Arabidopsis thaliana: one gene and its partners. The protein of the gene in region 2 purifies or fractionates together with the protein of the main gene of each other region. This does not show direct contact. Each region holds a gene or a part of one and is shown on either strand. Other genes may lie near its edges.

The links.
Region 1: the proteins of SDH7 (region 2) and PHT3;1 purify together in Arabidopsis thaliana (affinity purification with mass spectrometry, with the first as the bait; one large-scale study listed by BioGRID). This does not show direct contact.
Region 3: the proteins of SDH7 (region 2) and MOD1 purify together in Arabidopsis thaliana (affinity purification with mass spectrometry, with the first as the bait; one large-scale study listed by BioGRID). This does not show direct contact.

What each region holds. Positions count from the first base shown.
Region 1 is NC_003076.8:4,529,377-4,540,189, forward strand, and holds PHT3;1 (phosphate transporter 3;1), read right to left. Parts: upstream 3,744-10,813; 5' UTR 3,590-3,743; coding exon 3,269-3,589; intron 2,907-3,268; coding exon 2,545-2,906; intron 2,468-2,544; coding exon 2,424-2,467; intron 2,298-2,423; coding exon 2,083-2,297; intron 1,957-2,082; coding exon 1,832-1,956; intron 1,744-1,831; coding exon 1,683-1,743; 3' UTR 1,267-1,682; downstream 1-1,266. Other genes in the region: AT5G14050 (Transducin/WD40 repeat-like superfamily protein), read left to right, coding at 4,163-5,803; CARAB-AK-LYS (Aspartate kinase family protein), read left to right, coding at 6,767-7,156, 7,250-7,332, 7,436-7,476, 7,585-7,739, 7,909-8,058, 8,232-8,327, 8,399-8,515, 8,597-8,716 and 5 more. UniProt on the Arabidopsis thaliana protein: Transport of phosphate groups from the cytosol to the mitochondrial matrix. Mediates salt stress tolerance through an ATP-dependent pathway and via modulation of the gibberellin metabolism.
Region 2 is NC_003074.8:17,644,717-17,654,596, reverse strand, and holds SDH7 (succinate dehydrogenase subunit), read right to left. Parts: upstream 6,103-9,880; 5' UTR 5,877-6,102; coding exon 5,823-5,876; intron 5,736-5,822; coding exon 5,667-5,735; intron 5,405-5,666; coding exon 5,302-5,404; intron 4,824-5,301; coding exon 4,768-4,823; 3' UTR 4,424-4,767; downstream 1-4,423. Other genes in the region: AT3G47850 (tRNA (Ile)-lysidine synthase), read left to right, coding at 1-47, 174-341; AT3G47840 (Tetratricopeptide repeat (TPR)-like superfamily protein), read right to left, coding at 565-2,685; AT3G47836 (uncharacterized protein), read left to right, coding at 2,948-2,985, 4,092-4,248; AT3G47830 (DNA glycosylase superfamily protein), read right to left, coding at 6,251-6,484, 6,577-6,633, 6,732-6,932, 7,139-7,528; PUB39 (PLANT U-BOX 39), read right to left, coding at 8,634-9,880.
Region 3 is NC_003071.7:2,316,964-2,328,234, forward strand, and holds MOD1 (NAD(P)-binding Rossmann-fold superfamily protein), read left to right. Parts: upstream 1-5,251; 5' UTR 5,252-5,419; intron 5,420-5,883; 5' UTR 5,884-5,912; coding exon 5,913-6,192; intron 6,193-6,267; coding exon 6,268-6,377; intron 6,378-6,456; coding exon 6,457-6,512; intron 6,513-6,585; coding exon 6,586-6,718; intron 6,719-6,795; coding exon 6,796-6,870; intron 6,871-6,958; coding exon 6,959-7,070; intron 7,071-7,145; coding exon 7,146-7,197; intron 7,198-7,297; coding exon 7,298-7,349; intron 7,350-7,429; coding exon 7,430-7,487; intron 7,488-7,579; coding exon 7,580-7,678; intron 7,679-7,758; coding exon 7,759-7,904; 3' UTR 7,905-8,234; downstream 8,235-11,271. Other genes in the region: AT2G06000 (Pentatricopeptide repeat (PPR) superfamily protein), read right to left, coding at 11,037-11,271. UniProt on the Arabidopsis thaliana protein: Catalyzes the NAD-dependent reduction of a carbon-carbon double bond in an enoyl moiety that is covalently linked to an acyl carrier protein (ACP). Catalyzes the last reduction step in the de novo synthesis cycle of fatty acids.

The DNA of each region.
Region 1 (10,813 bases), on a different chromosome or scaffold from region 2:
ACCAAGTAGTCAAATAAGTTGTGATAAGTTTATTTTTCCGGGTTGGAATAGTGCAGCTTTTGCCATGTTTATCAAGAGTTCAAGACGGGATTATACAACAATCAGACTAGAGTTAAAAGAGATAATCAATAAAGCACGCACAACTTTCACACTATGTTAATTTAGGGCATGACTGGTTTAAACGCAGTGGGTGCGGTTGCGGTTGCGTTATCAAGCGTTTTGAACGACTGGTTGAGCGTTTGATAATGGATGCGTTTGCGAAAATTTTATGACTGGTAAACCAGCGGGTACGATAGTAATTAAATAAAAATAACCAAAATAAATATAATATATTACTATTAAAAGAAATAAAAATACAATATATTATGATAAACTGATAATATTAGAAAAATTGATTTTTTGACCAAACAAAAATACAATATATCATCTCGTCCGGCCAAATGATTTTCTAATCGAGAAAACAAATCGAAAAATGTATTCAATCAAAAAACTCAAAACAATACAAAATAAAATAAAAACAACGATGCCATGAAATAGTAAAAGAATTACACTAGCTAATGAATGAATAAAAGGATAGATGATACTTATGTTTGATTCTTGATTTTGATTTTCATCGGATGCCATAATTGAGAGAATAGAGTTACAATATATTGATTAGGGTTTTCTAATAAAAATAAGATATATAAAAGATTAGATTATTTTAATTATAGTGATTAGGGTTTGGGTGGAAGCCACAATTATTTTAATTAATTAAAAAAAGATTATTCTTTTTAACCTAACCGCTACCGCCCGCAACCGCAAACGCTTGCGGAAAGGAGCTTTTGAAAACTGGCGATTTCGAGCGGTTTAAAGCGATATCTAGCGGTTTTTATGATTGGTGTCAATCGCTAACAACCGCTACCAACCGCAAACGCAGCGTTTGCGGGTGGTAGAGGGAGAACCAATCAAGTCCTTAGTCCCTCAATCGTCGTCGCTCAAAATTACTGGTTTGACAACAGATGGTTGGTTGTTAGAGCCTTTAGACGAATGGAATCCAATTGCAAGGGTACATCTGTTAATTGGGATCAAACTGTTAAGTAACTTAGTTGGGCAACAAAGCCCGTCTAGCTCAGTTGGTAGAGCGCAAGGCTCTTAACCTTGTGGTCGTGGGTTCGAGCCCCACGGTGGGCGACGTTGTTTTTTTTATCATATGTTTATTAATCATTTGCCTACATAATATTTTCCTTATGTTAGCGCTTAGCGGTTAAACGTATACATATGATTAGTATTCAAGATCTATCTATGATTTGATGTTTTAAAACGAGATTTTATATAATCTCTAAAACAAAAAAGTAAAATAATAGATAGAGCAACCAAAAGAGAATTTCAACTGAAACTGAATAAAAAGTAGTGAGTGGGTGTATGCCCACTCTCTCTATCTTGGAGTGTGTCCCTCTCATCTTTTAAGATTACATCACACAAAGAAAAAAAGGACAAGAAACAATAGGAAGAGAGTATGTAAAGAGAGAGAGAGCACTATCCTGAATTCAGGAACACAAATTTCAAAAAAAACAAAAATGATAAAGTTCAAATCAGGAAGAAATTGAGCTTACTCACTCTTCCTCATCACCGTATGGTTTCTCTTATTTTTCCAAACAAAAATCCTACCCCATCGAACTCCTAATAACCTTTTTCGTCATTGTTTAGGCTTTGGCTTCAGTAGCTGCGATGGCAGGAGCTGGAGCAACACCACCAGTGGTTGGCCTGAATACCAAATCAAAAGAATTGAGAGTTTTGCATTTTGAAGGTACAATTAAGGTACGAAAGTAAGTGAAGAGAGAGAGGAACTTACAGGCCAACAAACACTTTGAAGGCATCGTATAATCCCCACTGTGCTCCAGTCAACGTCCCGATCATCACAATTCTAAGAGGAAGCCCTCTTGTGAACAGTCCCACCATACCAATCTTCTTCACCGCCTGCAACATGTCATTTACAAACATTAAATATTATTTCTACCGTAACAGAAATCAATAGCTTGTATACAACTACCAAACCACAGCCATTCTAGCATTAGGCTATTGTATTCAAACATAGTGACTTACATCTCCAACGGTTGCTCCCTTAGCGTTGTTGAGGAATGACACTAGATTGTCTGCTGGATGAGAAACGATGGCACAGAACACTCCGGCAACGTAACCTCCGGCAAAACTCACTCCGAGTTGCAGACCTTTGCTGCACTCACTCTTTGGGTTGGGGATTGCGTACTTGTAAATCATCTCAACAATGGTCTCAAAGGAAGCAAACTTCATCATAGTGTCTGTAAAATTCATAGATATCATCACCACCTTTTGCTTTTAAAGAACTACATATGTTTCATCAATAAACAAAAAAAAAAAAAAAAAAAGATTGTGCAACAGGTTGCAAAATAGAGGCCAGAACTTACAAGGAATCTGACGTCCCCAGAGTGGAGCAAGACCCTTATACAAGCTGCAAAAAAATCAGAAATCAGACCAAAAGGCTAGCAGTAACAAGGGAGATAATGTTATTGGTATTGAAAAACTCACCCTCCGTATCCTTCGGACTTGATAAACTTGGGAAATCCATCAGACATCCCCCTAGCAAATCCAGGCTGTGTCTGAACACGAACCTTCACAGCTTCAAATGGGCAAAGTGCAATATCGGCAATGATCTCAGCAGAAGCAGAACCAGCAAGGTAGATGAGAGTCTTGTATTTGGCAGTGTACTCAGGTCCAGCAAGGTCAGAGTAAGTCTTCTTAAAGTACTCGTAGAATCCAAACTTGCAGGCACCCTGAGCACTGTAACCCAAAAGAGTAGGAACCCATCCACGGAAAAAGCCTTTGACTCCTTGCTCTTTCAGCAAAATTCCAAAACCAGACGAGATGCTCTTGTACTTCGCTGGATCAATCTGGATAACAAGATATATCAGTTTTGCAAGACCAAGTGAACCATTCAACACATAACACGTCAAGTAACAATATTTCGAAAGAAGAACCAGAAATCAGACCATATTAACGTATATTGAAATAGAATGATTCATATATAACATGGAAATGGATAGACGAAGATGCGTTTATCAGAGATCAAACAATTCTTCAGATATTGAAATCAAACACAAAACCAATAGTCAGGAAAACAACAAAGCGATAAAGAAAATCAAATCACAGATCTAGCAACACAGATCTCACTACCTAAACAACACAGGAACACAGATCCACAAACATGAGCTCAGAAAACAAACGAAAGACAACGGATCTAAAGGTTACATACCTGCATATTGCACTTGACGAGATCGAGAGGAGTCACGGTCATGTGAGTAAGACCACAGCTGAGAATTCCACCAAAGGTACAAGCAGCGTAGAAGGCAGGTGAATACATCTCGATCCCCTTCCCTGGCTCGGTGGGAGATGCAATAAGGAAATTCTTCCGAGAAATCATCGACGTAGGAGAGGAACGCGGGGCCGGAGAAGGAGATTTCTCGAATGCAGCGTTGGAGTTGGAATTGAGCACCTGGTCGAGGAGGAAAGATCTCGGAGATGAAGATGATGAATAGAGGAAGCTCGGGATCAGAGAATTCTTCGGAGATTCCATGGCGGCGGCGGAGGAAGGAGATGGAGATAGCGTTTGAAATGAGAGACGGAGGCGATGTTTGATTCCCGATCTCACTCACGCTTTGCCAAAACCAAAAGCACCAATGAGGTATTAACTCTCGAAACTCGGGCTTTATTGGGCAAATGGAATCTGATGGAACAAGGCATATACTTTGCGATAATTACGAAAGTGACATTGTTATTTTACCTGTCTTGGCCCATGGGCTTTTTCAAGAGACATAAGACCCGTTGACCCATTAAAGGGCTGTATTAACGACAAGTTCCAATTTTTATTTGTTTATCTTTTGTTGGAAAATGAAATTCTAAAACCCTAAAAAATCCAACCAGAAGGGTAGAAGCTCTCTCGCCGACAATTACCGGCTACAAGGTTTCTCTGCTCGTCAACGTTGTAAGTTATTTCTTCATTGTAATCAAATTTGTGCATGAATTAGGTCAAATTAGTAGCTTTTGTAGTAATTCTTCCCGAAATGAGAGCTTAATTACGGATTGATAACGAGCTTGCGAATCTTATCGTTGTTTGTTTCATGCAGCTCTGAATTAGTGGTATTGAAAGATGAGCTTATCTCAGAATGCTCCGAAAAGTAAGGGTATTAAAAGAGAGGAGCTCAAGAAACAGTACGAAGATGTTGAAGATGAGGAAGAGATTGGGTCCGATGATGATCTCACTAGGGGAAAGAGAAGAAAGACAGAGAAGGAGAAGCAGAAGCTAGAAGAATCGGAACTGGTTGAAATGAAAAAGCTTGAGAATTTGATATTCGGGTCACTCTACTCTCCTGTTACGTTTGGTAAGGAAGAAGAAGAAGATGGTTCGGCTTTGTTTCATGTAGACCGTTCTGCTGTGAGGCAGATTCCTGACTACGAGGATGATGGTGATGATGATGAAGAGCTTTCTGATGAAGAGAATGGTCAAGTTGTGGCAATTAGAAAGGGAGAAGCTGCCTGGGAGGATGAAGAAGAGAAACAGATAAACGTTGATATAGCTAGTGTCAACCGTCTAAGGAAGCTAAGGAAAGAGGAGAATGAGGGTTTGATCTCTGGGTCTGAGTACATTGCAAGGCTGAGGGCTCATCATGCTAAGCTAAACCCGGGGACTGATTGGGCTCGGCCAGATTCTCAAATAGTTGATGGAGAGTCTTCAGATGATGATGATACTCAGGATGGAGGAGTTGATGATATCCTTCGAACGAATGAAGATCTTGTGGTGAAGTCTCGTGGTAACAAGCTGTGTGCTGGTCGTCTTGAATACTCTAAGCTTGTGGATGCCAATGCAGCGGATCCTTCAAATGGTCCAATAAACTCTGTCCACTTCCATCAGAACGCTCAGCTGCTTCTCACTGCTGGATTGGATCGACGGTTAAGGTTTTTCCAGATTGATGGAAAGAGGAACACCAAGATCCAGAGCATTTTTCTTGAGGACTGTCCCATTCGTAAAGCGGCTTTCTTGCCCAATGGCTCTCAGGTCATTGTCTCCGGAAGAAGAAAGTTCTTTTACAGCTTTGATTTGGAGAAGGCAAAGTTTGACAAAATTGGCCCTTTGGTTGGTAGAGAGGAGAAAAGCTTGGAATATTTCGAGGTGTCACAAGACTCTAACACCATAGCTTTTGTTGGCAACGAAGGTTATATCTTACTTGTGTCTACAAAAACAAAAGAGCTGATAGGAACCCTAAAGATGAATGGTTCAGTTAGGTCTTTAGCATTTAGTGAAGATGGGAAGCATTTGCTGAGCTCAGGAGGTGACGGGCAAGTCTATGTCTGGGATCTGAGAACAATGAAATGCTTATACAAAGGCGTGGATGAAGGCAGCACTTGTGGCACTTCTCTTTGCAGTTCGCTTAACGGAGCATTGTTTGCTTCTGGAACCGACAGAGGAATCGTAAACATTTACAAGAAATCTGAGTTTGTGGGAGGCAAAAGAAAGCCGATAAAGACAGTGGACAATCTCACATCCAAGATAGATTTCATGAAGTTCAACCATGATGCTCAGATTCTAGCTATAGTCTCTACAATGAACAAAAACAGTGTAAAGCTAGTCCATGTTCCATCCCTAACCGTCTTCTCAAACTGGCCGCCACCAAACAGCACAATGCATTACCCTCGCTGCCTAGACTTCAGCCCCGGAAGTGGCTTCATGGCTATGGGGAACGCTGCCGGAAAAGTTTTGCTGTATAAACTCCATCATTACCAGAATGCTTGAAGTGGTCTTTAACAAGGGCAGTTTTGGGATTGTTGTGTTTCCTCTTTTTTTGTCGCAAGTACTCTTTATGTTATCAATTTTCCTATCCAATTATCGATCAATGAAAAATTTTCTTTCTGATTCTTGGGATTGAGTGGGCCAAGTTTTGTTTTCTCACGATTTTGACAGCATCAACCACTTATTTGGTACTATCATCTAAAAATAAAAATGCAGGAGAAAAAGAAAGATGTCAACATTATTTCATGGATTAACACAAAGTACAAATTTTAGTAGAGTGGCTTACTAATAGCTGAAAGGGTATCTCGACCCAGAGATTGAATCTGAACCGTCCATTCTGGGAAGGGCAAACAAAACAGTGTTTGTGTCTCACGTTCTCTTCCTTCTCTAATAGAGTCTTAAGCCGCTTTTTCACTCCTTAAACCCAAAAAAAAACATTAGTACTATTTCCTTCGGAGCCTGGCCGGCGAATCCGACAGGTCGTTTCAGCTGTGTCCGAAGGAAAGTTCCAATTTTTATCTGTTTTTCTTCACGGAAATCCAGTTAAGGTAATTGTCTACATTTCTCGATTTACTTTGGTTTCTCTGGGTTTTGCTGTTTTCTTTTCTAATTTCTCGAATGATTCATCATTTCTTGCATTTGGGGTGATGAAGAAGCACAAGTTTACACATTTTCTGGTTTATATGCTTCACAAGTGCTTCTCTTATGATGTTGTTTATTAGTATTGGTTGTTTGATTTCACTGAAAATTAGTCAGTCAACTTACAGTGTATTAATTGGTTCAATAAATTTTTCATAATTCATTTCTTAACATGATTTTACCTCATTCATTATATTTATAGATTTAGATCCCTTGATAATGATCTGATATTCTTTCTGTGAATTTGAAAGTTGCAGGTTTCCACATTGCACAGCTGTACCATTTGTCGAGATCACAACACGCAAGTCTCTTAGATTTAGCAAGCTTATGGCTTCATTGCAGTTGTACGGAGTTAAAACTCCAGGGCTTGCTTTAAGTTCAAAGAGGCTTGAGTTTGCTTCAAAGGGGGCATGTTTTTCAGTTACGTTGCCCTCAAGTAGTGCTGTCTTTAGAGACGTAGAGCATTCTTGTAGGAATATAGGTTTGAGAGTTAGTTGTGAAGCTCTAAGAGTCGATTTGCTTCAAAGAAAAGAGCCTGAGACGTGCGATTCAAGCGGAACTGGCAAAGAGTTGACATGTGTAATGAAATTTGGCGGTTCATCAGTGGAATCAGCAGAGAGGATGAAAGAAGTTGCCAATCTTATACTCAGCTTTCCAGATGAGAGGCCCGTCATTGTGCTATCAGCAATGGGAAAGACGACTAATAAGCTTTTGAAGGTAATACAACTATACTAATCTTTTCTACGTCTTCCTTATGACGTTTTTGTTATCGGTAGAGTGATTATTTTCTTGGTTTTCCGCTTTTGTTAGGCTGGAGAGAAGGCTGTTACTTGCGGTGTCACTAACGTAGAAAGTATTGAAGAATTGAGCTTTATAAAGGAACTCCATTTAAGGTTAAAGAAAACAATGTTATCTCATGTGTATTTGATTGTTATCTAGTGTTCACAGTCCAAATTTAGCCTTATTCTCATGGGAAATAAAATTCTCTATGTTCAGAACTGCTCATGAGCTTGGAGTGGAAACAACGGTTATTGAAAGTAAGTACCTTGGTTCTCGTTCTCCTATTGTAGTTTCAGAATTTTGCTTTGCTCATTCAGTTGAGTTTTTCTTATCTGAATCCGTTTTTCTGGTTAATTTATTTGTAGAACACCTAGAAGGACTACACCAGCTTCTCAAAGGCATATCAATGATGAAAGAGCTAACCTTACGCACAAGGGACTACTTGGTTTCATTTGGAGAGTGCATGTCCACAAGGCTTTTCTCTGCGTATCTCAATAAAATTGGCCACAAAGCGCGTCAAGTATGTTGCTTTATAACACTCTGGTCCTAGCATAACCTTGGCCCTGCATATAATTGCTGCATTCATCATACAGATTACAGAAACTTGAGAGTGTGTCAATGCTCACAAGTATGTACTCTAACATGAGTTTAGTTCATTACTTGATGAGTTGTTTGCTTGTTGTTGGCAGTATGATGCATTTGAGATCGGATTTATCACCACAGACGACTTTACTAATGCTGATATACTTGAAGCAACATACCCTGCCGTCTCAAAAACACTTGTTGGCGACTGGAGCAAGGAAAATGCAGTCCCTGTTGTTACTGGCTACCTCGGAAAGGTTTATATTTTTCTGACTTTTTATGTTGTTCTCGTGGATCAAGAAATATGTGGTGCTCAACTCGGGTTCTCATCTATTCTATAAATTGGAATGGGTTCTGCACAAGAGTTGTTTTGCTTATTGTATCAATTTTGAAAACAAAACTTCATTCTCGTATGCATGTGTTTCTGCAGGGATGGAGGTCTTGTGCTATCACTACGCTGGGTAGGGGTGGCAGTGATTTGACAGCTACAACGATTGGGAAAGCGCTAGGACTGCGGGAAATTCAGGTATTTGATGGCTTTGGCCAAGATTGCATCATGTAGATGAAATTTTGTTAAACAATGATTTTTTAATATAGGTTTGGAAAGATGTGGATGGAGTTTTGACTTGTGATCCTAACATATATCCTGGAGCTCAATCTGTTCCGTACTTAACGTTCGATGAGGCAGCTGAGCTTGCTTACTTTGGTGCCCAGGTAATCTCGTAGATTAGCTATGCACTATGCTGATGAGTTCTTTTCTGTCAGATGGCTGAGCATATTCCTCTTCCATTGCAGGTGTTGCATCCACTGTCTATGAGGCCAGCAAGAGATGGCGACATTCCTGTGAGGGTTAAGAACTCGTACAACCCCACTGCTCCAGGAACTGTCATCACCAGATCAAGAGACATGAGTAAGGTTCGTGAAACAGATGTGTTTTTTTAACTCCTTATATCAAAATATCAATGACCTTTTCCTCCTTTAATTCCTTGTAGGCTGTGCTAACCAGCATTGTTCTGAAACGTAATGTGACCATGTTGGACATAGCAAGCACCCGTATGCTTGGCCAATATGGTTTCCTTGCCAAGGTAATATAATTGGATAATGATATCTTTATTCGACTTTGTTTAATATCTCACTGGAAGCATACTCACTGTCTCGTGTGCAGGTGTTTACCACATTTGAAGATTTAGGTATATCGGTTGATGTTGTGGCAACAAGTGAAGTTAGTATATCATTGACATTGGATCCAGCAAAGCTCTGGGGTAGAGAGTTAATTCAGCGAGTAAATGTAATACTCCTTTGACTTTGATAGATTGTTTCTTTTGTGAGGGTCATATGTGGTATTGGTTAAAGGGACTGGGTGTGAACAGGAACTGGATAATTTGGTGGAAGAGCTAGAGAAGATTGCTGTTGTGAAACTACTTCAACGCAGATCAATCATCTCTCTCATAGGAAATGTTCAGAAATCCTCACTCATATTAGAGAAGGTGAGTGAGAGTAACATGTCTTGTGTTCTCTTTTGAATTTTGAAGTTTTAATTTAGTGGGAATGGAATGAATGACAAAACAGGTGTTCCAAGTATTTAGAAGCAATGGAGTGAATGTGCAGATGATCTCGCAGGGTGCATCTAAGGTTAGATGGAATCCGCTGCTACATGATAGTGAATGAATATGGTTTACTTATGGTTATAGTGAATGGGGATATGTGTGTGTGTGTGTGTGTGTTTCAGGTAAACATCTCATTGATAGTGAATGATGAAGAGGCAGAGCAATGTGTGAGGGCTCTCCACTCCGCCTTCTTTGAGACCGATCCTTAGTGCAACACAGAGCACCCATCTCTCTCCTTCAACTCTGCTTCTGTGCGTAGTTTAATGCTAAGAATGTGTCAAGACTTGGAACTATTTCAAATTCTTGTCCATTGTTGTTGTTGTTGTTGTTGTTGTTGTGATACAATACATCATAATTTGAGCCAAAGCCTATAATCTTTTAATTTAAAGAGTACATAGACAAGCTCAAAAAGAAATAAAGAAATAACCAGTGTGTTGAGTAGGGATTCAGATTTAAAGCTTAGTTTTTAGGATTTAAGATTTGGTTTTATGACATAAGGTTTACAATTATTAGTCAATGGTAATTATACTATTTTGTTCACAAGAATTAAGATATAAATTAGTTTCTTCATTTTGACATCAGTATATTTTCATAATTTCTTCTTGTCAACAAAAGAAGAAAAAAGAAAAAGAAAAACAAATTCAGTATAGAAGAGAAAGTGAGCATTGAAGGAGCAGGCTTAGGCCAACTCCAATGGGACTCTAAAACACCATTTTAGTGTAATTTTTGCACTAAAAGCTCTCCAATGGAACTCTAAAATTCACACCATTTTAGTGTAATGCTACAGTGTTACATCAAATTTGGTGTGATACTATTCACAACTCTAAACACTATTCACTTATTATATCAATAAAAATTCAATTAACAAATATAAAATTACAAATGATTAATAGATATAAAATATAAAAATGAATGGATACATTAATATATTATATCTCTTGAAATAGTTTATTTAGTTATGATATTTTTATATTATTATGTATGAAAATACTCAAAATAGTTACAATTTTATGTATTTTTAAATATATATTTCAATATACTATGTTTATAATGTTATGTAATTCTATACTAGTAATAAATACTAATCAAAACTATTAAATAATAAAAGAAATCTTTTAAATAGATAATATAATAGTATATATTTTTTTTAGTATGATTTTTGGTGTTATGGTCGGAAAAAACACAAGTTTTAGTGCTAAAAATGATGTAATTTGAACACCAAAATGGTGTTGAGCCTTGAAGATGCCCTTAGAAAGTAAAGAAACACTTTAAATGATACCGAAAATACCCTTCCTGAAAAGCATAAGCAACAGTTACTTGACCAGGGTCATATCCGACCGACCAGCCGGTCAACGAGAAATACACATCTGATGAAATCTGTTACGTAAGGCTTCTGTAACGGCCT
Region 2 (9,880 bases):
CTGAATCTCCTCTGAGAAGAGCAGCAGCCTTGTCACAACACAATATGGTAAATATTCAATATCTTCATTTTAAACAACAATATAACCAAACTACTTAGAATCTCTTTGGTCAATCTCTGATTTTGCATTCATATATGTATATATGATGATTGATTGTTGTTGCTGTTTATCAGGTTCCACATACTTCTCGATGGAGCCCGCTCGTTGGTCCTTCTCAACCCGGTCCTGCAGTCACTGTTTCTGCGTCTGGAACAAACTACATTGCTTCATCTCCTTCACCAGCGGGTTTTGGTGGCACTTCTGTTTTCAGAGAATCACGGCTTCAGAGTCCATGGAATTAGCCAGCTTCTCCTATATCTTTTTGTTTTTCGTAGCTGTAACGTGTTCATATTGATTGATGTATAAATCAGACTCATCCATATCTTATTAGTATTACTGCAAAATGCAAACTAATCCATTTCTTCTTATTTTCTCAAAGGTTCATATCTACATTGATTGTTATTGACTGAATCAGCTGAGCAGATTAAACAAAAAGCTGAACTATGAGAATATTTAATTGTTTCTTCAGGAATATAAATTAACCCCAAAAGCTCTCTTTAATGTGCAATCAAATCTATGAGCTTCTGCACCAGATACTGCTAATTCCAAGATATTGTATATATCTTCACTTTGCGGATGGAACCGATCACCAGATACAAACGCTGAAACGCAATCCTTGATCTTAATTGATGACCATCCGGGCTCTTTGATCACGCCTTTTGCTTTCATATTCTTTCTTACATTTGCAGCTTCTTCCAAGTTCCCTGTGCTTGAATATATATTGGCTAGTGTTACAAGTGCAGTTGCACAAGTAGGATCCAGCTCTAGAATCCTCTCAGCAGCCCTTCTCCCACGTTCAATGTCTCCTTTGGCCTTACACGCAATGAGAAGTGTGGTCCAGACTACATCGTCTTTCTTCCATGACATCTCATTGATCATCTTCTCTGCATCACTTAGCCGTCCTGCTCTACATAACAGATCAACCATACAACCATAATGTTCCTTGGCTGGTCTCATATTATACGTCTCTTGCATCATGTTGAAATAGTGAAAACCAAGGTCAAGCTGTCCCGAATGAGTGCAGGCGGTGAGAACGCTGATGAAAGTTACAGAGTCGGGTCTGAAACCAACCTTTAGACTCTTCTCAAACAGATCAATAGCTTCTTTGCTCTTTCCATGTTCTGCATATCCATTGATCATAGCTGTCAGAGAAACAATATCATCTCTATCTGTTTCTCCGAATATCATTGAAGCTTCTTTGATACTTCCACATTTCGAGTACATATTAATCAGACTACTACGAACCGTGGAGTTCTGTTCTAAACCAAAACAAAGAGCAAGCGCGTGAACTTGCCTGCCTCCCTCAATAACTGCCATGTTTCCTGAAACACTCAGCAAACTAGCAAGAGCAAAATCTGTTGGTTTTGTCCCTGATTGTCTCATCCATGAGAAATACTTAAAACCTTCTTCTCCAAAACCGGCTTGACAGTACCCTCCAATAATGGTACTCCACGAAATAATGTCCCTGCATCTCATTCCTTGAAACAAAACAGAAGCAGAGACTAAATTCCCACATGTAGAATACATCTTCATCATCGAGTTACTCACTGACAAAGAATCATTTAAACCTAGAGACAAAACATTACAGTGGAGCTGCTCGCCCCACACAAGTCTAGAAAGACTCGCACACGCAGAAAACATTGATGCAAAAGTTTGTTCATTAGGAGGGACTTGAGAATTTCTCATCTTTATAAATGTCTCCACAGCTTTTACTTCTTGACCGATTCGCTTGTAAGCCACAATAAGGCTTGTCCACGAAACCACATCCCTCTCACTCATATTTTCAAACAAACAAAGTCCGTCCTGCATTTCCCCACATTCAGTGTACATTGTCGCGAGTGAGTTAGCCACGCAAAGAGTGGTAACAAAGCCTCTCACTATCACATGAGTATGAATCGCCTTACCATATTTAACTTGACGTAAACCAGCACAAGCCTTCAAGGCAATAGCAAATGTATAAGTATCAGATAGTTCTTCCGATCTCGACATTTCAGAAAAGTACGTAAGACCTTCCTTGTAACGACCAGCGTGAACCAACCCCGTAATAATCGCTGTCCATGTTACAGCATTTCTAAAAGGCATTTCGCTAAAGACTCTGCAACTCTTATCAATCTTTCCAACTCTCTTATACATATCCAGTAAAGAACTTCCCACATATACAGAGCTGAGAAGCGAAGTTTTCACCGCATAAGCATGCAAAGATTCTCCATATGCAATATTGGAGCTTTGACCACAAGCCTTGAGTACAACACTTAGCACAGAGGTATCAGGTGAGACGGCATGATCAACAACACGCATTGCGGAGAACAAAATCAGTGCTTCGTCAGAGTTGTTTGCAGTTACGTATCTTTTAATGATGGATGTCCATGAAACAATATCTCCGTGGGGCATTTTATCGAACACTTGGCGAGCAGCTCGCAAATTCCCTGCATTGATGAGACTCCTAAGGTGAGAGTTGGGATCAAATTTGACCATCACCTGATTCGAGATACGGACAATGTTCTCCTCAACCGGTTTCTGGAGCAATGAAATCGAAGTTGTACAAAACCGTTGGATTGTGCCGCAATTTCTCACACTCGAAATCATGTTTTTGTTCAAATTCGAAACCAATCGTTACCTTTACCAATTGTACCGAATTAACTAGAAACATAATAAACCGAATGTTAACCAAACCAGTCGGTACACATTTGCATCGAACCATAATAAATATCCGGTGTGGTGTTTGTTTGTTGAAAAAGGAGGAGAAGAGAAATGGGGATAGTGACTAGAGCCGGAGATTGGTCGTTCAAGGCTTTCACGGCGGGGCTAGGGCTCGCCACCATCTACCTCACCGCTACTTTCTCCTTTAATGTCTATCGTGGTCTCTCTTGGCACAACGCTCAATCTGTATGTTTCTTCTCTCCCTTCACTTGTCAATTTGGGGGATCCACGTTTCCTCTACATTATTATTTTCGTTTCTTGTTAGATGATTGAGGTTCTTCGGCTGTATGAAAATGATCACTTGTAGAAAGTTTCTTTGATTTCATTGGGATTGCTGTTGACCTGAGGGCCAAATTTAGGGTTTATGAAAGTTTCTATATTGTTGCTAGTTCTTATCTGATAAACAAATTTTTGTGCAGTAACTGTTAGGATTTGGAAAATTTTAATCATATACTACATGCTTTGGTTCTCTGGAAATGGTGATATCTCTGGCATCGTTAGAGATTACTGGTTTAGATACTTAGTCTACGCAATGGATCAGCTGTGTTAGTAATGTCTTTATCTTTCTAGCAGCAAGATCTTGTCCCAGTTTGGATATTAAATATGTGTTCTAAGTCCATAATATATCTTAAACTGATAGAGAAGGCCTTTTATGTGCGAAGTTGTGAGGAACTTGATAAGAACATATTTAAAACAACCCATTGAGACTTCATTAGTGAGAGAGACTCTCAACCATAACCCGGGAAAATCCACACACTAACCAATCTGCTTATAAGTTTAGTTCTCACTCACCGACCATGATATCTTCAATCTTAGGCTCGGTACACAGTAGACCTATACCTAAGAGTGAAGCCTCTGAACATTACTCCAGCCAATCAACATCCTCTTCTCCCCTGTGTCTTGGATTCAGAGCTATTGTTTGCATTAGGTTGCTAAAATTGTTTCCTTGGCTAATATTCATTCACCTTTTTTAGTTTCATGGAGAAAGTGAATTTACAGTATCAAAATGAAAATGCAATGGTTGTTTATGGTTTTCTCAAGATTTTACAACTGTTTATGAGAAATTTAATGTTCCTGTCAAATTTTAAGAGAACTCAACTGGTAGATGCCATGTGGTAATAATCCATGGTTTGCTTTAATTTGTTTTTGTATCCCTTGACCTTTCTTTTACTCTTGGTGTATAGTTTTACTTACAAATCTTACATTGTGTTATGCCCTTCTGGACTACAAATCTTACCCCTGTTAATGTCTTATCCAAAGCTAAATCCATTTTATGTTTCTTTTCCTTGCAGAAGCTGGAGATTGAGGAATCTGAAGAACAACCCGAATGATCCGAATTCAGTTGCTATCTATCCCTCAAGCAGCAGATGCTTCCTTGAATCTTTGTGTGTGTTGTTTCTTTCATACAACTGCTATATCTTTGTTTCGATTCTAGGAGCAATTAAATAAATGAAATTTTTTGGTTGATACCTTCACTAAATTTGTAATGTGATTCTAAAAGTTCCGTAATAGCAAAAGAACAAACTTTTCTTACAATAGTTACACTAAACTACTGACAAATTGTTAAGGTAATATAGAATCTGTGAATCCGGAAACTGGCTTGATGACAATAGAACATGAACCCGGAGGAATAAGAATTGTATGAACGCAAAATGGATAGCAAAAGAAAACTTATCATTTTCGATATCGAATACTATGAAGTATCAGAAGCAACGATAAAGTTAAACTCTACAATACATTACAAGAGAAGAGCACAGAGAATGCTTTAGTGAATTTGGATTTCAATAATCAATGAGCTCGTGATTCCATGTAAAGCGATTTGGATTTCTGGAAGACAAATACAAGGTTTCGCCATAGGACAATTACAAAATCCTTTTCGTTTCTTCACTTATTCAAAAGCCAAACATGAGTAACAAGATGAATATCTGAGATTGCTAAAAAGGGAGATAAAGAAACTCATGAGCTTCCTCATGCAGCCTGAGCTTCCTTTCTCATCACTCTCGCATAGATCTCATAGCAGCATCCTGAAACAAGCACACATCAGAAGGCAATCCAACTCAAGACACACAAAACTATGTCATCAACACCTAACTATATGAGCTACACACACTATTCTACTAAGTGCTGATTATATCTAAACAGAGGATGCAATAACATTAATTCAATGGAGATACCATTGGCGAGATACCACCATCTAAACCATCCCAGCTACTACATTATCTACTATCCAATTTACTTCCACTGTTTATATGAAAACATGATCAGATAATATGGTAAAGCACAAGAACATCTTCAGAAAACTAAGGATACATTTTCATCTGCAGCTTTTCTTGATCGATAACAGAAAAATCTGTTATAAGATGAATCGCAACAAAAAACATCCTAAAGTGAATCTCTAAACACTTTTATCAGTGACTACCAAGTTCAGATTCATCCTATATGGTACAAGATGAATCACAACAAAAAAGAAACTGATCATGTAAAGAAAATAACTTCACATACCAGCGACAACGACAACTGTGAGCACATCTCCAATTCTTTTCAATCTATGAACACCTTTCTTATGCGACTTGAATCTCCTCAAAGATGCATCCTCAGCCAAGAGCTGCAACAAAGACAACCATTGAAAAACATGAATCTCAGAGAAACTATCAAAAAATCAAATCTTCTAGGAGCCATATCCCTCTTTGCCTCAGCTAATTTCGATTCGGTATTGCTCTTTCAGAACAATTACACTACCTACAATTACTATTTGACATACAAAGATCCTTCCAAAACAAATTTTCTCCTTTTCTAAACAATCTAATCTGACCGAATCGATCCCTGATCCCTACCCTATAACAGATATAAATGTAAGAGATACTTACAGCTTTCTCACGAGCACCTAGCTCCACATGGAACCCGCGACGGGATTGAGCTAAAGCACCATCCGTCTTCTGCATAAAGATCAAACGATTTTGTCATAAATATAAGAATCGAACTATATCCGTTAAAAGAGATTCGATTCGATCCAAGAACAAAACCTGGGAAGAAGATCGGAGGTGAGATGAAATCGAGGTGTTGAGTAAAAACGCCATTTCCGATGAGGAGCCAAAATTGAAGCAGTGAGATGATAGCAAATTAGCCACTAACTATCGAATATCATCAATGGAGACGAAATCGAAAAGGTCTTTTTCTGCAAATTTCTCAATAATGAACTTATTAAATTGTAATTTTCGTTTTCTGTTTTTGACCCATACCTTAAGAATAATTTCATTTTGACCCCGAAGTTATATAGTATACATTTGTAGACCTCTTCTGTTGTGATGTTATGAATCTGGTATTGGATGCAAAACTAATGAGCTCGAGTATGTCGTATAGAACAGACGCGATTGTGTCATTTTAATAATCTGTTTTATAATTTATCAGATTAAGAGCAACAAGTCAACAAAAGAGTTCTAATTCTGATAATCTAAACTATTAAATCATAAAAACCAACAAGAGGGCAATCATCAGGAGATGCCACTTTAGCTTTTGGTTTAGCAACATTCTTCTTGCAATTGCTGCAGATCTTACCATGTGTATATAACAGACAGTTCAGATCAAACTTGAGCTCATCAGGGATCTTGCGGTTGAGATGAACATACGTTTTGTTCCTGTCTGCGGTTTTCGGAACCCAACCTAACGCCTTTGCGATCTCAAACACCTGTTTCAGTCGGGGTTTGTATCTCATTAGTGATCTGCTTGACTCAATGAAAAACAAACACCAAAAGCCAAGAATAAACAAGAAACACTCACATGAGTGTCTACTGGGAAATCATTGTGCTGGAGATTGAACATCAGAACACAAGAAACCTGCCAATGATCGTTACATCGTTACCAAGAGTTAGGTGTCTAAAGGACTATGAATAAGAAGCTTAAGATAGTTTCTATCGAGTGAGCGAGGCTATTACCGTTTTAGGTCCTACTCCTTTAAAATGAGAGAGCTCGGTTTTTACTTCTTCGACCGATAAACCTCGCAGATACTCCAAGCACAATCTACCTCTTTCGTTCTGCAAACGGTTCAATATGTTCTTGATACACACCGCCTTTTTCGGTGCCAATCCTCCACATCTTATAGCATTCTCAATTGATTTAGACTCAGCATTCAAAACCTACATTGGCAATATACATTTTCTCAAAACGTTTAACCAAAATCTTAAAGAGTTTTAAGCTCAGAGTTTCCCAATTTTGTCCAAGAACATGCTTTAATTGAACTATTTCTATGCATTGATGATTGATCCATAACTAAATCTTAACCTAAACTCATAACTATAATTAACATCACAATACTTAAACCTTCACAATACATAGCACTTACGTCATCCCATTTCGGAAATGTAGCTTTAAGAGAAGCAAAAGCCCTTTGGGAATTGCTCTCAGTTGTATTCTGCGAGAGAAGAATCTTAACAAGCCCATCAAGTACACTCTCCTCTTCCGTTTCATTCAATGTCTCAGATTTCAGATTACACTGTGTATCGTGATCATCGACGGCGGAGAATGATCGGAGTCTTTGACGGCGGTAATTAGCGAATTCGGGAGGGAATCCATGGAGAGACAACAAAGCATCCCTTACGTCTCGGCATTCTTCAGCGGTAGGTCTAAGTAGTGTAGGGTAAGGATTGCCGCCGTCGACGGTTGATTTATTGGCCGGAGTTTTTGATTCGCCGTCGTATTTGTTTAGGCGTTTCCGTTTTTGGGCTTTACTCATCTCGTAGGAAAACGACTGACCGGTGCAATATTCAGATCGGTTTACTCTTCTTGTTTTGAAGTGATTTATTTCTTACCCACAAAATTTAGTGAAATCTGGGCCGGTTGACTAAATTCTCGGTATAAATTAGATCCGGTTCCTTTTTTTTTTGTTTTGGGTTTTGGGTGCAAAATTTTATTTTTTTATTCAATCCAGGGGCCGGTTCAATAAAATTAAAGTCCCTGAGTTCAGGAGAAGCAACAACGGCAATACTAAACCAATACAACGGTTATGCCTCAATGATAATGTCATCTAGCATAATAAAAATAAAAAAGAAAGAAAATGTCACCTAGCATTTTTATTTCTGGCATGTTAAGGCATCAAGCAAAAGATCAAAAATTGTTTCATATCCATGGAGAGATGTATGGGCCTCTCAGTCCATAACTCCTGAAAAGTTAACCTAAAAACAAATTGTTTCTTACCATGCAACAAGAGTTTAATTTCTAATTAATAGTGGAATGTTGTCACTTGTACGGTTGTACCAGACACTGTCTAACACTAGTGTAATTCGCTCGTGGTTAATTCTCTAGCAGAAAGAAGATTCAACACGTCCAGCTATTCTCGTAACATATAAATAGGGTCCATAGAGTATGTGTGGCTATGTACCCATGACGTGTTTGCATGACGAATGGCAAATTGGCGATTGGATTACATGACTTCAGGCAAAATAATTGTAGAATATTCCAACTTGGTACACTTTGAAACGTTGACCTTAGAATTATTTGACCAACGACTAAATCTTCGTTCCAAATCTTATATTACGTACTTTAATCAAAAGATCTGAAGACGGTACACCAAACAGAGTAACTCTCCACGAGACGACTTTTGTTTGTCTAACGTTTTCACAAATTAAACAAGAGCAACTCTTTACAAACGAAATAATCAACATTTTACTGTTTGTCGTTTCATTAGAAATGACAAATTAAAGAAGATTAAAATCAGATATTACAAATTCACTCCCAAAATATTAGTCACAAAAAAGAGTGAAAAAAAAACAAATATTTGAGAAAAAAATTTACCAACAAGAAAAGAGATAAGAAAATGAAAATAAAAAAATTGAATAGAGCTAAAACTGAGAGGAATAAGCAAAACCCCCTTTTTGCCCTCCTTGTTGAAACTGAGAACGACTTAGCCCACTCGCTTCCAACATACGGTTCCACTCACGCGCCTCCGCTCCTTCACCGAATTCACTCCCTCCGCCTCTCAATGTCTGTAGAATCTTTGAAGCTTTCTCCTTCAACCGCCCGCTTCCGCTCTCGCTCTCCACAATTTCCGTCAAAATCTCCTCCGCACCCGCCTCACTCGCCAATCCTCTAAACCTCATATTCCCTACACTCAACGTCAACAAAGCCCCGACGCAATTCTCACGCGCCGCCGCGTCTGACTCAGCTCCTCCACTTTCTCGCAATTTCCCAACCAGTATCGACACCGCATTCCCGTCAAGCATCGCACCTTTTCCTTCCGAACAAGCCGCCAGATTACACAGTAATAAAAGAATCCTGCTCGCCGATTCACCGGATCTGATCATAGACAGCATCATCGGCACTGCACCGGCTTTAACCAGCCTACTTCGGTTATTCGGAATCAACGACAAATGATAAAGCGCAAGCGCCGCGTCTTGACGAGCTCTCTCACTCTCCGATGAACGAAGCGCGTGAAGAAGCGGCTCCACCGCACCAAGAACTCCGATCACCATCTTGTTCTCTTCTTCAACCGCTAAACTAAACAAAGCTCCGATTACATGCTCTTGCGCCTCCGTTGATCCCGATTTCAAAACATCAATCAACAAAGGAACGAATCCTGACCGTACGATTTTCAATTTGTTAGGTTTCTCTAACGAGAGATTAACAATCGACGCGGCGGCGTTTGTTTGCACGATGTTGTACCGTGAAACGATCAGAGATCGGAGTAATGAGAGAATCCGATCAGTACAAAGAGAGATTCTCGTGGTCTCGTTTGATCTCGTCGTCTTCCTTAGCTGAATCAGACCTTGCTCGTGATCGATTGTGTCAACACTTGTCAATTTGTTGTAGATCTCTTCTTCTTCCGGTGACATCGGAGGAAAAGATGAATAATCCGATGTAGAGAATGAGCTTTGGATCCGGGTCGAGTGATTAATGGGTCGGGTTTGGTGAAGTGGAAGAGAAGTAGTTGACGATAATGAAGTCCTTGAACGAGATCGAATCGCTCCCATCACGGAATCGTAATCTGAATTTGAATTTGAATTCTCAGCCACCGGTGGTAAGATTTCGGATTTAGCGATCCGATGACCCGAACCCGGAGGAAGTGAATCCATTCGGGTACGAACAACAC
Region 3 (11,271 bases), on a different chromosome or scaffold from region 2:
AAATTTCATTAAAATCACCCAGTATCATCCAACCTTTATTACGAAACATTGGCAAATCGTAATGATTCCTCAAATCTTCCCAAAGTTCTCTCCGTTCATCCACATAATTCGATGCATAAATAAAAGAGACAAAAAAATCCTCTGCATTTTCTTCCGTCAAAACAGAGCAAGTAATCAATTGTCCACTTTTGTAAACCGGAGTAACTCGAACCGTATTCTTCCAAACCACCCAAATTCTTCCTAAACGATGATGTTCATAGTTTGTCATAGAGGACCAGTCTCGAAAGACCTTAGATATGATACGACTGGCTCTGTTTTCATCCACTCTCGTTTCTATTAAACCCCCAAAAGTTAAAGAATCCTGTCTGACCCAATCATGAATTACAGAATGTTTAATTGTTTTGTTGAATCCGCGCACATTCCAGAAAAAACCAATCATTTAATGAAGTTTTTTGGAGTTTCTTCTGCTCGAATTGCTTGAGACATTGTCTCTTGCTTTTTGAGTAAAAGTCTCCGACAGTACTTTATGGGAGCTCTTCGAGGAACGAGGGAGATTGACTCTCAGCGCCCCTGTTTTCTCCGTCTCCGGTGCCGAGTTCTTCAGAGCCCCCACGTTGGAATCCAAAACTTCCACCTGTTCCCCACGCTCTGTCTCTTCTTTGTCCCCATTCTCCTCATGATCACTCAAAACAGAGTATCGAGAAGAGGATAAAAGCGTTACTTGGCCGAACTCTAAAGGTTTTCCATTTGATTTTTCAGAACTTTTACTTCCTTTCCCTGGAGAGACTAAGGACCAACCATCTCCGTCTGACTGAGTGACTTGTGGTATCACCTTGTCGGAGACCTCCTGATTTTCAACGACCTCAGAAAGTTGCAAAGTTGAGTTCTGTATCTCAACATTTGTATTCACTTTGCTAACTATCACATTGTCAGACACAACCGCTAGAACTTCACCTTCTTCTAATTCCATGACTCTCTCCTTCAATGGAGACTTCGGCTTACTCACACAAACATCCACGAGATGACCCCATTTATTACAACAAGAGCATTTAGGAGGCAACCAAGGATAAACGAACTCCACATTAACATCTTCTTCATCCTCTATACTGAACCTGAAACACTTTGGAACCTCTTGCGAAAGATTAACTTCAACAAATACTTTTGCTTCATCAAACTTAGTGCATAACTCTGTTTCAGGATGAAGTCTAATTGGATTTCCCACTGGACTGGTAAGAAAGCTTAAACCATTCCAGGAGAACATGGAATGGGGAACATTTTTTACTGTAACCCACAATGGCATAGTTTTAGACATGAGTAAAGCTTATGGTCGAATAGAGTGGCTTTTTATTGAACATTTACTAAAGAAAATTGGTTTTTGCGATAAATAGTTTTTTTTGGATAATGTAAAGTGTCACATCGGTTCGATATAAGATTCTAACTAATGGACAGCCTCGAAAGTTTGATAGTCTCTGAAAGAGGCTTAAGGCAAAGAGATCGTTATCACCTTATTTATTTATAATGTACAGAAGTTTTTGTTGCCAATATTCGGAAAGCAAAAAGAAAAAAAACTTTTACAGGAATGAAAGTAACACAAGCAAGTCTCTAGATCTCTCACTAATTATTCTCGGATGATAGCTTTTTCTTTTACAGAATGACAAAAAAGAGCAGTGCGCTGTCGTTTTAGGAATATTAAAAAGGTATGAAGAGGTTTTGGCCAACGAATAAATTTTACAAAATCATCGGTTCAATTCGGACACAAGAAAGAAGATTCACTGAAAGACGAACTTATGAGAACTCTAGAGATCACTAATTTAGGGGGCATGGGCTCTTATTTAGGATTACTGAAAAGCCTAGGAGGCTCCAAAACTAAGATATCTTCTTTTGTGAGAGAGCGCTAACAAGAAAGAATTAATCGTTCGGCAAAATTCTTATCTAGAGGGGGTAAAGAAGTAATGATTAAATCGGTAGCTGCTGCGTTGCCTACTTATGTAATGTATTATTTTAGATTACCAAAGTTGGTAACGTCAAAACTTACGAATGTAGTAGCAAAACTTTGGTTGAGCTCAACTGGAGAAACAAAAGAAATGCAATGGATGGCATGGAAGAAGTTATGCGAGAGAAAATCTAATAGTGGGATTGGTTTTCAGGATGTGGATGATATAATACTGGGTTATTAGCGAAATAAATATGGCGGTTTATTAAGGTTCATGATTCCTTATTTGCAAAGGTTTTTGAAGGGAGCTATTATCAAAAACCAGATCCAATGGATCTGCTCAACCTCTGGTTAACAAAGGGCTTATTAAACGAATAAGCTCTGGATGATCAAATTCAGTATGGAATGATCCCTGGATACCAGCTTAATCCCCGAGGCCAGCTATAAACAATGGTTATATTCATTAGCATATCTTCTTGTCAAGAATTTGATTGATGATCAGACAAACACTTGAAATATAGATTTAATTCAGAATATTCTTGATCCCAAGGATATCCCTTTTGTATTTGCACTACCCATAAGAAAAAATAACAAACCTGATTTTTTGGATTGGCACTTCACGAAGTCTGAAAAATATACGATCGAATCAGGATATTATACGGAGCAAATGACGATAGGTGAAAACCAAGTTTGTTATTTTGGCCCAAATTTTACGGCCTCTCCAAGCCCACTCTTGGAAAGTCCAATGCCCGCTAAAATTGAGACATTTTATTTGGCATGTTATTACTGGTTGTGTGCCTGTTAATTCTTCTATAATACTATCTACAGTGCACGTGTTGAATTATTTATTCAACTGTTGAATCTCCACATTGCACCTGTTGAATAATTAAAAAAACTTACGTGAATTCAACATGTTTATAAATTTTGGACCCACATGTGCCACTTGTTAGTAAGTGAGTGGGAGGTGTGCTTCAAACTCAGAAACGAAGGGTGTACTGTACAAAACTTTTTTTTCATTTTTTTTCGAAGAGTGCCACTTGTTATTGAGATGCTGACACTTGCTATATTTTCTTGGAGATTTTTATTTCATCTTATCTTTTTACAATCAATTATTACATACAAAAGTTTTTTTTTAAAAATATATACTTATATAAAAATTTATGACTTCTATATATACATTTTTGCAGCCATTTTAACAAATAAATCCTATAACTGGACTTATTTACAACCCAATGCCATTAGCATTAATTTTTTTTCCAAAATAATTAATTTTACTTTAAATTCTTAATTTAAATTGTCAATTACATTATCAATCAAATTTAATCCAAACAAACTTCACATTAATCCCTTAAAATTAGCATAAACGTATTTGTTAGCAATATTTTAAAACAAAGTTTTTTGTTTAAATAAATATTATTCTTACTAAACGTTTTTTTGTCTAAATAAATAAACCCTGTATTTGAACTTATTTACAATGTCATGCTATTGGCATTAATTATTTAGAAATTAAAATATTTAATTAACGATTTAAATCTTCTAAATCTTTGCTTTTAGAGTTATTATGTCATTACCTAAAAGGCAAAAAATATATATATTTTTAAATATTATTATTTATATATTTAAACTTTATAAAACATTATTAATATTTAAACAAAAAGTTTAATATATCAAAAAATTTAACATCATTATATAATATATAGTTTAAAAAATCTCAAAAAAAAATCCGTCATATTTTGTGATTCAAAATTTTAAAAATGAACATATATTAACCAATTAGCGAAAAATGTGTGGGTTCAACATCCCGCATCGACTAAAATATTTAGACAATGATTCATAAATAAGATCAACATTAATAAAATAAATGTTTTTTTTGCAGGATGGGTTTTGCGGGACGGGTTTGGCAGGACGTTACTTAATAACAGTTGTAAACTATAAAATAAAAATATTTTATAGATAGATACAATTTACAAATTTTTATATATATACTATCTTTAAAAAATAAATTGTCCCCGCGGTGTACCGCGGGTTAAAATCTAGTTTAAACTCTATAAATGGAGGCTTGGTTCAATTTATTTGGACACATAAAAAAATGTCATTTCTACCATAATTTTCTTATTCTTCTGCCATAAATTCTATATATTATTCTACCATAATGTCATTTTTAATTAATTTAATTTAGTTTTAATAGATATTTTAACTTAATTTGTTTAACAACTATTATTATGCATCACGAAATATAAGATATAAGAAAATAAGAATAAAAGAAATAGTGGGGTTGGGTGTTGAATTTTATTAATAAAAAACATTGGAGTGATAAAAAATTAAAGTAAGGAAGAAAGAGGAAATGATGTGAAATGTTCAAAATTGAGGTGGAGGTGCTGAATATGTTTTTGCATTGTACATAGTTTTAAGCATTTAACTATTGAATTAATATTTTCAATAAGTCATTGTAGATAGTCATAGAGAAAACAATTAATCAATACTATTTTTGAATGCCCACCAGCACTCTAAACTTGCACATTATCACAAATACCAACGGTCCCAGGAATTTTCCAATCTTCATCGGTCTATGTAAACATAGATCATTTATTTTGGAGAACACATTTATATTATTTTATTTTTAGCTTTTCTTGGATTATGTGATACATATGGAAAGCACAAAATGAAAAACTTCACGAAAATATGGATCGAGATCCAAGGGATATTCTCAAACTAGCGAAAAACAAAGACAATGCTTGGACGTTAGCCTGATTGGAGGTTGCAAATGAAATTCAAGCCTCAGTGGCAGTTAAGTCGGTTAATATAAATCTTTCAGGATATCATTGTTTCATTGATGACTCTTGGAAAGATAGTGACAAGTTTTTGGGCATGGGATGGTTCTGTATTTTACCAAATGAAGGACATCCAACCATGTGTGCTGGAAGCACTCGTCTGGGCAATGAAATGTATGATTGGCCAAGAAAAGCGAAAAGTAACGCTTTTTATAAACTGTAGATCTGATGAAGATGATGTATTTTCCAACAAAATGGCCAACATTCGCTACATACTTAAAGACGATTCAGGAAGATAGTGATGAGTTTGATTTTTTTGATTTATCTCTAATGCTTCGAAATGTAAATGTTAAAACAGACCACTAGATACGGAATGTTCGGATATAACCACATATGATTATCTTTGTAAACAATACTTTTTAGCATTGATTTATTATTTGAGTTAATCTAATAAAGTTGTCGGAAAAAACGGAAAAGTGAGAAGAGAAAAAGTCGAAAATTCAGAAACGGTTTAAAGTTAACCAGGATTCCGGTTTTTATAACAGAACCGATCGGTTTTGTAATTGAGACGAAAACTTCTGATATCACTTAAAAACTTCACAGAAACAACACCTCGATCTCATCGAAGCTCCTCTCTCTTACATATCATCACTTCACATCAACCAAACCTACTTCTGTCTCTCTCTCTCGCTCTCTATCTCTCACGCTCTCACAGGTTTTTTTCTCTCTCTGTCTCTCTCTTGTTCTCCATTTGCGTCTCTGTTTGTTTGATGAGTTTCTGAATGTTAAATGCAGATGTGTTTTGGTTTTCTGTGGAAGTTTTTATATCTCTGTTGATTGAGTTTTTCTCTGATGTTGTTGGGCTCCAAAAAATTCGAAACTTGTATTATCTCTCGTTTAGGTTTCGTGTTCTCTGCATTGATCTGCTTCTTTAATTTGTTAACTATACTCACGTATGTGAAAAATCTGAACTTTGTTTGTTAACTCTAATCCAAATCATTAGAAAAATGCAGATTGAGATTTCTCTAATGCAGTGCTTGAAATTTTGGAAACTAGGGTTCTTGTTATAATGTTTCAAGTAGTGAACTTATGTCAACTTGTGCTTTAGGTTTGATCTGATTCTTAAATTTTGTTTCATATGTGGTCTTTCTTACAATGTTTCTGGATTTGTTGTTTTAGTAGAAGAAAAAATTAGAAAGGTTGTGAGAATGGCGGCTACAGCAGCTTCAAGCTTACAAATTGCTACACGAAGGCCGAGCATGTCTTCGCCTAGCAAAATTCTTAAAGCAGGAACCTACATTGTTGGTGCCAATCCTGGAAACGCTTCATGGGATAAACTTTCATGCACTCGCCAATTATCAAACCTTGGATGTTTGAGAAACCACAGTGCTGTTCCAACTTGTAAGAGACCCTTTTCTTTTTCCACAAGGGCAATGTCTGAATCCAGTGAAAACAAGGCTCCTTCAGGGCTTCCAATTGATTTGAGAGGTTGGTTGGCATATCTTTCTTTGAATTCAGAGAAGACTTGGTGCTATCTGAACTAAGCAAGTGTAAATGGTACAGGGAAAAGAGCTTTCATTGCTGGTATAGCTGATGATAATGGCTATGGTTGGGCCATAGCAAAATCTCTTGCTGCTGCTGGAGCTGAAATATTGGTTGGGACTTGGGTTCCTGTAAGTCATTTTTGGTTCAGCTGCTTTTAGTTTCCTTCATTGCTAAATTATACTAACCTATGAATGGATGGTCTACTAGGCACTTAATATATTTGAGACAAGCTTGAGACGTGGAAAATTCGACCAGTCACGAGTGTAAGGACTTACAACATGATCTTGTCTGGTTTTATGTAATGGGACATTAATTTTTCCATCCATGTATATTCAGGTTGCCTGACGGGTCATTGATGGAGATTAAGAAGGTTTATGCTTTGGATGCTGTGTTTGACAATCCTGAAGATGTGCCTGAAGATGTGAAAACGAATAAGCGATATGCAGGATCGTCAAACTGGACCGTACAGGTATAGATTAGAGATACACAAACACGCCTGCAAGTTAACATGTGTTACTCCTTAATGCTTTTTGTTGCTTAAATCAGGAAGCTGCTGAATGTGTGAAAAAAGATTTTGGAAGCATTGACATTCTTGTCCATTCCCTTGCAAATGGCCCAGAGGTAGAGAACTCGTATCGATTATTGGTTACAGTAAGTGCATTGTGTTGTATACAAACTATTTCCTAATGGTGTTCACATGTGGGTTTAGGTTAGCAAACCTCTTCTGGAGACATCAAGGAAAGGCTATCTCGCTGCTATCTCTGCTTCGAGTTACTCCTTTGTTTCCTTGCTGAGGCATTTTCTGCCAATTATGAACCCAGGCATGTAACAAATTTCGTATGTCTCTTTATTCCTTGTAAATATGTTTTCTTATTTGGTTCTCTATGATGATTTAGGAGGTGCTTCAATATCTCTTACTTACATTGCCTCTGAAAGAATCATTCCTGGGTAAGGATGGCTTCTTCACAAGTTATTCAAAGGAACAAACTAATGCACACACATAACGATGTCAACACATTCTCACAAGTATCTCTTTCATTCTGTGCAGGTATGGTGGAGGTATGAGTTCTGCCAAAGCTGCACTAGAGAGTGACACACGGGTGAGTTTACAATTCTGTTTCGTAAACTCAAAGATGTATCGGTTAGAAGTCTCTTAGTCCAAACTGTGTTTTCAACATAGGTGCTTGCATATGAAGCTGGAAGGAAATCAAACATTAGGGTCAACACCATCTCTGCGGGTAATCCATCTTTCCCTCTTACACGCCTCGTGGTACAAATAACACGCCTCGTCTTTTGAAATTATAAAAGAGTACTACTGTTTGGGTTTCAGGTCCTTTGGGAAGCCGAGCAGCAAAAGCCATTGGGTTCATAGACACCATGATTGAGTATTCCTACAATAATGGGCCTATTCAGAAAACACTGACCGCAGGTTCATTTCCTTCAAACCATCACCTCTCTTGTGCTTGTTTTTTCTTGGAATCTTACGCTTTATAAATGGCGATGATGTAGATGAAGTTGGGAATGCAGCAGCCTTCTTGGCATCTCCATTGGCCTCTGCCATAACCGGTGCAACCATATATGTGGACAATGGTTTGAATGCAATGGGCGTTGCACTGGACAGCCCGGTGTTCAAAGACCTTAACAGCAAGAATTAGAGTCTTGATCGACGACTGGACTCGAGAAATTCCGTGTTTTCGTGAGCTTGCTTGTTTCTTTATGAGTTAGTATGTACGGCATATGTTCCCCATCGGCTGTCTTTTTTTTTCTTTCTTTAAGAGAATAAATTATGGTTCTAGGTTGGGTCATTTAGCAACTATATATGTAGTGATGGATTATTATTCCTCTTATGATTGAAAATTTGCAAGTGAGAAAAACTATCATGTTTCTTGTAAGTTGTCTCCTCCAGTCTCAAATCTCAAACCAATTTACAAGACTAATGAAACCTAACAGCCTCTATTTGCTAACTTTTGAAAGTTGTACATAAACCTCACAAACAATAGCAGTTAATTCTGCACATATCATCTAAATTTGGCTTTAGTAATTGAAACTGGCATAAACTTAGAAGCTCAATATGCTAAATTTGGGAGGAAAACGTTAGCTATCATCTTGAGTTTTTTACATATGTAATCTCAAATATTACTAATAAGTTTAGAGCTCTGTATGGTTGATAATTTACTAATTAGAACCATGACATCAACAATGAAGAATACAAAACATGATGAATCAACGAGAAATAAGAAGCTCTTGAATTCCAGAAAGGAGATAAAAATGACTATTATATTACTTCCCCTCTGGTCACCAGTATCATAGTATTATACATAAAAAAAAAAAAAAATAGCATGTATCTATATTTCATCTTAAAAGCAAAAATTCAATTTTTTATTTAATAAAAATATAGGCGTATGATCTATCTCTTAAATATATTATTTATATAAATAATATTAATTAAAATAAAAAATTTCTAACTTTCTAACAAAAATATCAACGCGGTACACCGCGGGTCAATCTATAAATAATACAAGTTTTAAATCTTTATTAACTCTTAAAAAAATCCAAACCACAAACAAAATAATATTAATTTTCTCGGCGAGGCTTGCAGCGTGGTCGGCAGTCAGCTTCTCCAATGAGAGTTGTTTGCTTGGGACTCCGAGATCTGTGGATCTATTGGATGCTCTGTCTTATAAAGTGTCGGCGAAGGCTCTGGTCTCATTATGTTTCCTGTTGCTTGTAGCGGATCCGTGGTTGTTTGTCTCACTCTGTTTTGCTAGTCCGGTAAGCAGACTTTCCAACCTTTCTTCATAGCCTTTTTGTTAGGGTTAGACGGAATCGCTTTTGTTGGGTTCTTGAGTTGGCTGTAACAGTTTCAGAGATAGTATCGTTTAGCTTCTCTTCTTCTTCGACGGTCTGGGATGTTGAAAAGGCAATGTCTTTCCGGTTTTAGTTGTTTAAGTTTCGTTTTGTCTCTGGCTGTTTTGGATAGAAGATGGGATTCCCATTTTATGCTTTTTGATGAATGAACGAATGCTCGTTGTGGTGATTATCTGGCCTACAAGTTCTTTTGTATTCTTGGGAGATTTCTTTGGTTCACTCTGGTTCGATCTTCTGCTGCTCCTGATTCTTCGAGAATGGTGTTACCCGGTGTGGATTTTTTGCTCCTTGTCTCTGCATTTCAGATCTGATCGAGATCTGGTCCTATGGTTTTGCTTCTATCTAGGTGTAAAATGTCGCCTTGTCTCCGACGTCACCGTATCCGGAAGAAAGTGTGAGGTTCCATGTGTGGTTCTGTCTTTGCGGATTATGAAGATTAGCATAGGAGTTCTGTTACTTTTAGGCAGTTTGGCATCTTTAGAGGAGGATTAGATTATCGATGGTTGGCCACGGGCATCTTCGATATGTACTATCAAAGGATCTCTTGAAGTATGCTTTCCTTGTTGGGTTGGTTTATGGTCCCATTTGGTCGAGTGTTTTGTTTTGGTCTGTTCTTGTAGTGGGGTTCTTCTGCTTTCATTATATGTTTGTATCGGTTTGTAGCCTTGTAGTATTGTTTCTTTGCTTCCCTTACATAGGGCTTTAGACTCCAGAGATATCTTTGTTTTCTGCTAGCATATGGTTGTAATCTTCCAAATATCCTTCATGGTTTTTAATAAAATCTAGATGACAAAAAAAGATCTACCTCTTAAATATATTATTTATATAAATAATATTAATTAAAATAAAAAATTTCTAACTTTCTAACAAAAATATCAACGCGGTACACCGCGGGTCAATCTATAGATAATACAAGTTTTAAATCTTTATTAACTCTAAAAAAACCCAAATCACAAACAAAATAATATTAATTTTAATAATAAACTAATATACAACAAATATAGAACATAAAACATGAATTACTCAAATTTTACAAATATAGAAATTATGTGTCAAGGATATATTATTCGTATATAAATAATAATTCTTATAAAAAATATGTATAATTTTTCAATGAATATATCCATTCGCGGTGTACCGCGGCTTAATATCTTATACGTTAACATTTTGGGGTTAAAACTAAACTTCAAAGTTATTTTTGGTGGGAGAAGAATTTGAAAGTGATTGGCAAATTGAGGATTTTAGCGACATTTTTTTCCTCCATCTTAAAGGATTTTGATCGAAAGGTTGATGTCGACTAGTATTCAACATGGAAATGAATTGCCACCATAAGAAGAAACACTATATGTCCAGCCTTGCCAAAAGCTCAAACAGAAGACTCACAGACGGATTTACAAGACTCATGAAACCAATCTGGTTCCCTCAAAAAAACACTCGGATTAACCAGTTCTTCTTATCCTTAGGCAATGAACTTAAGACCTATAATCTATTTCTACATATTTTTTTCTAAGCTTTTAAGCAACTGAATATCCCTGTTCTTGCAGATGAGCTATTTTGGTTTCATTCTCTCAGCAGAGTTTACACTGAATTGTGATCTCTGGAAGTAGAATAGCCTGAACAAGAGAGTCAAAATTGACACAACAAGCATCAGAAGCCTGCGAACTAGCTAACTAAGAGTGATATAAACATATTCTATCATTTCACAAACTTATATTTATGCAATTACATCTTTATTTCAATCTTCAAAAGAGAATTAGGATCTAATGAATCTACCAGAGCAATTGAAAGTGTAATGTGAACAGTTGCTTACTGTGAGTTTTTGACTGTTTTTGTCTGCTCTGCTTCCAGCTACGCCTAGCAATGTGTAGAGAATGTACGGTGGTTGAAAGGCCGATGCACAGATATATTATATAGAAAGCCTAGCAGGCAGCCAGAGTCGCATTTGCGGTTTTCGTCTCTAGAGGTACCACGTTATTACTTTGGCCTTTACGTGCTATCTGGTTTAAGTGATAGGCCTCCTTAGCCATACCAGCCTTAAGAAGACAAGATAACAAAGAACTCACAGTAATCTTATCCGGTGAACAACCTATCGCAACCATTTTGTGGAAAATGCTAACTGCTTCAAACATCCTTCCTTTCATGCAATGCCCGATT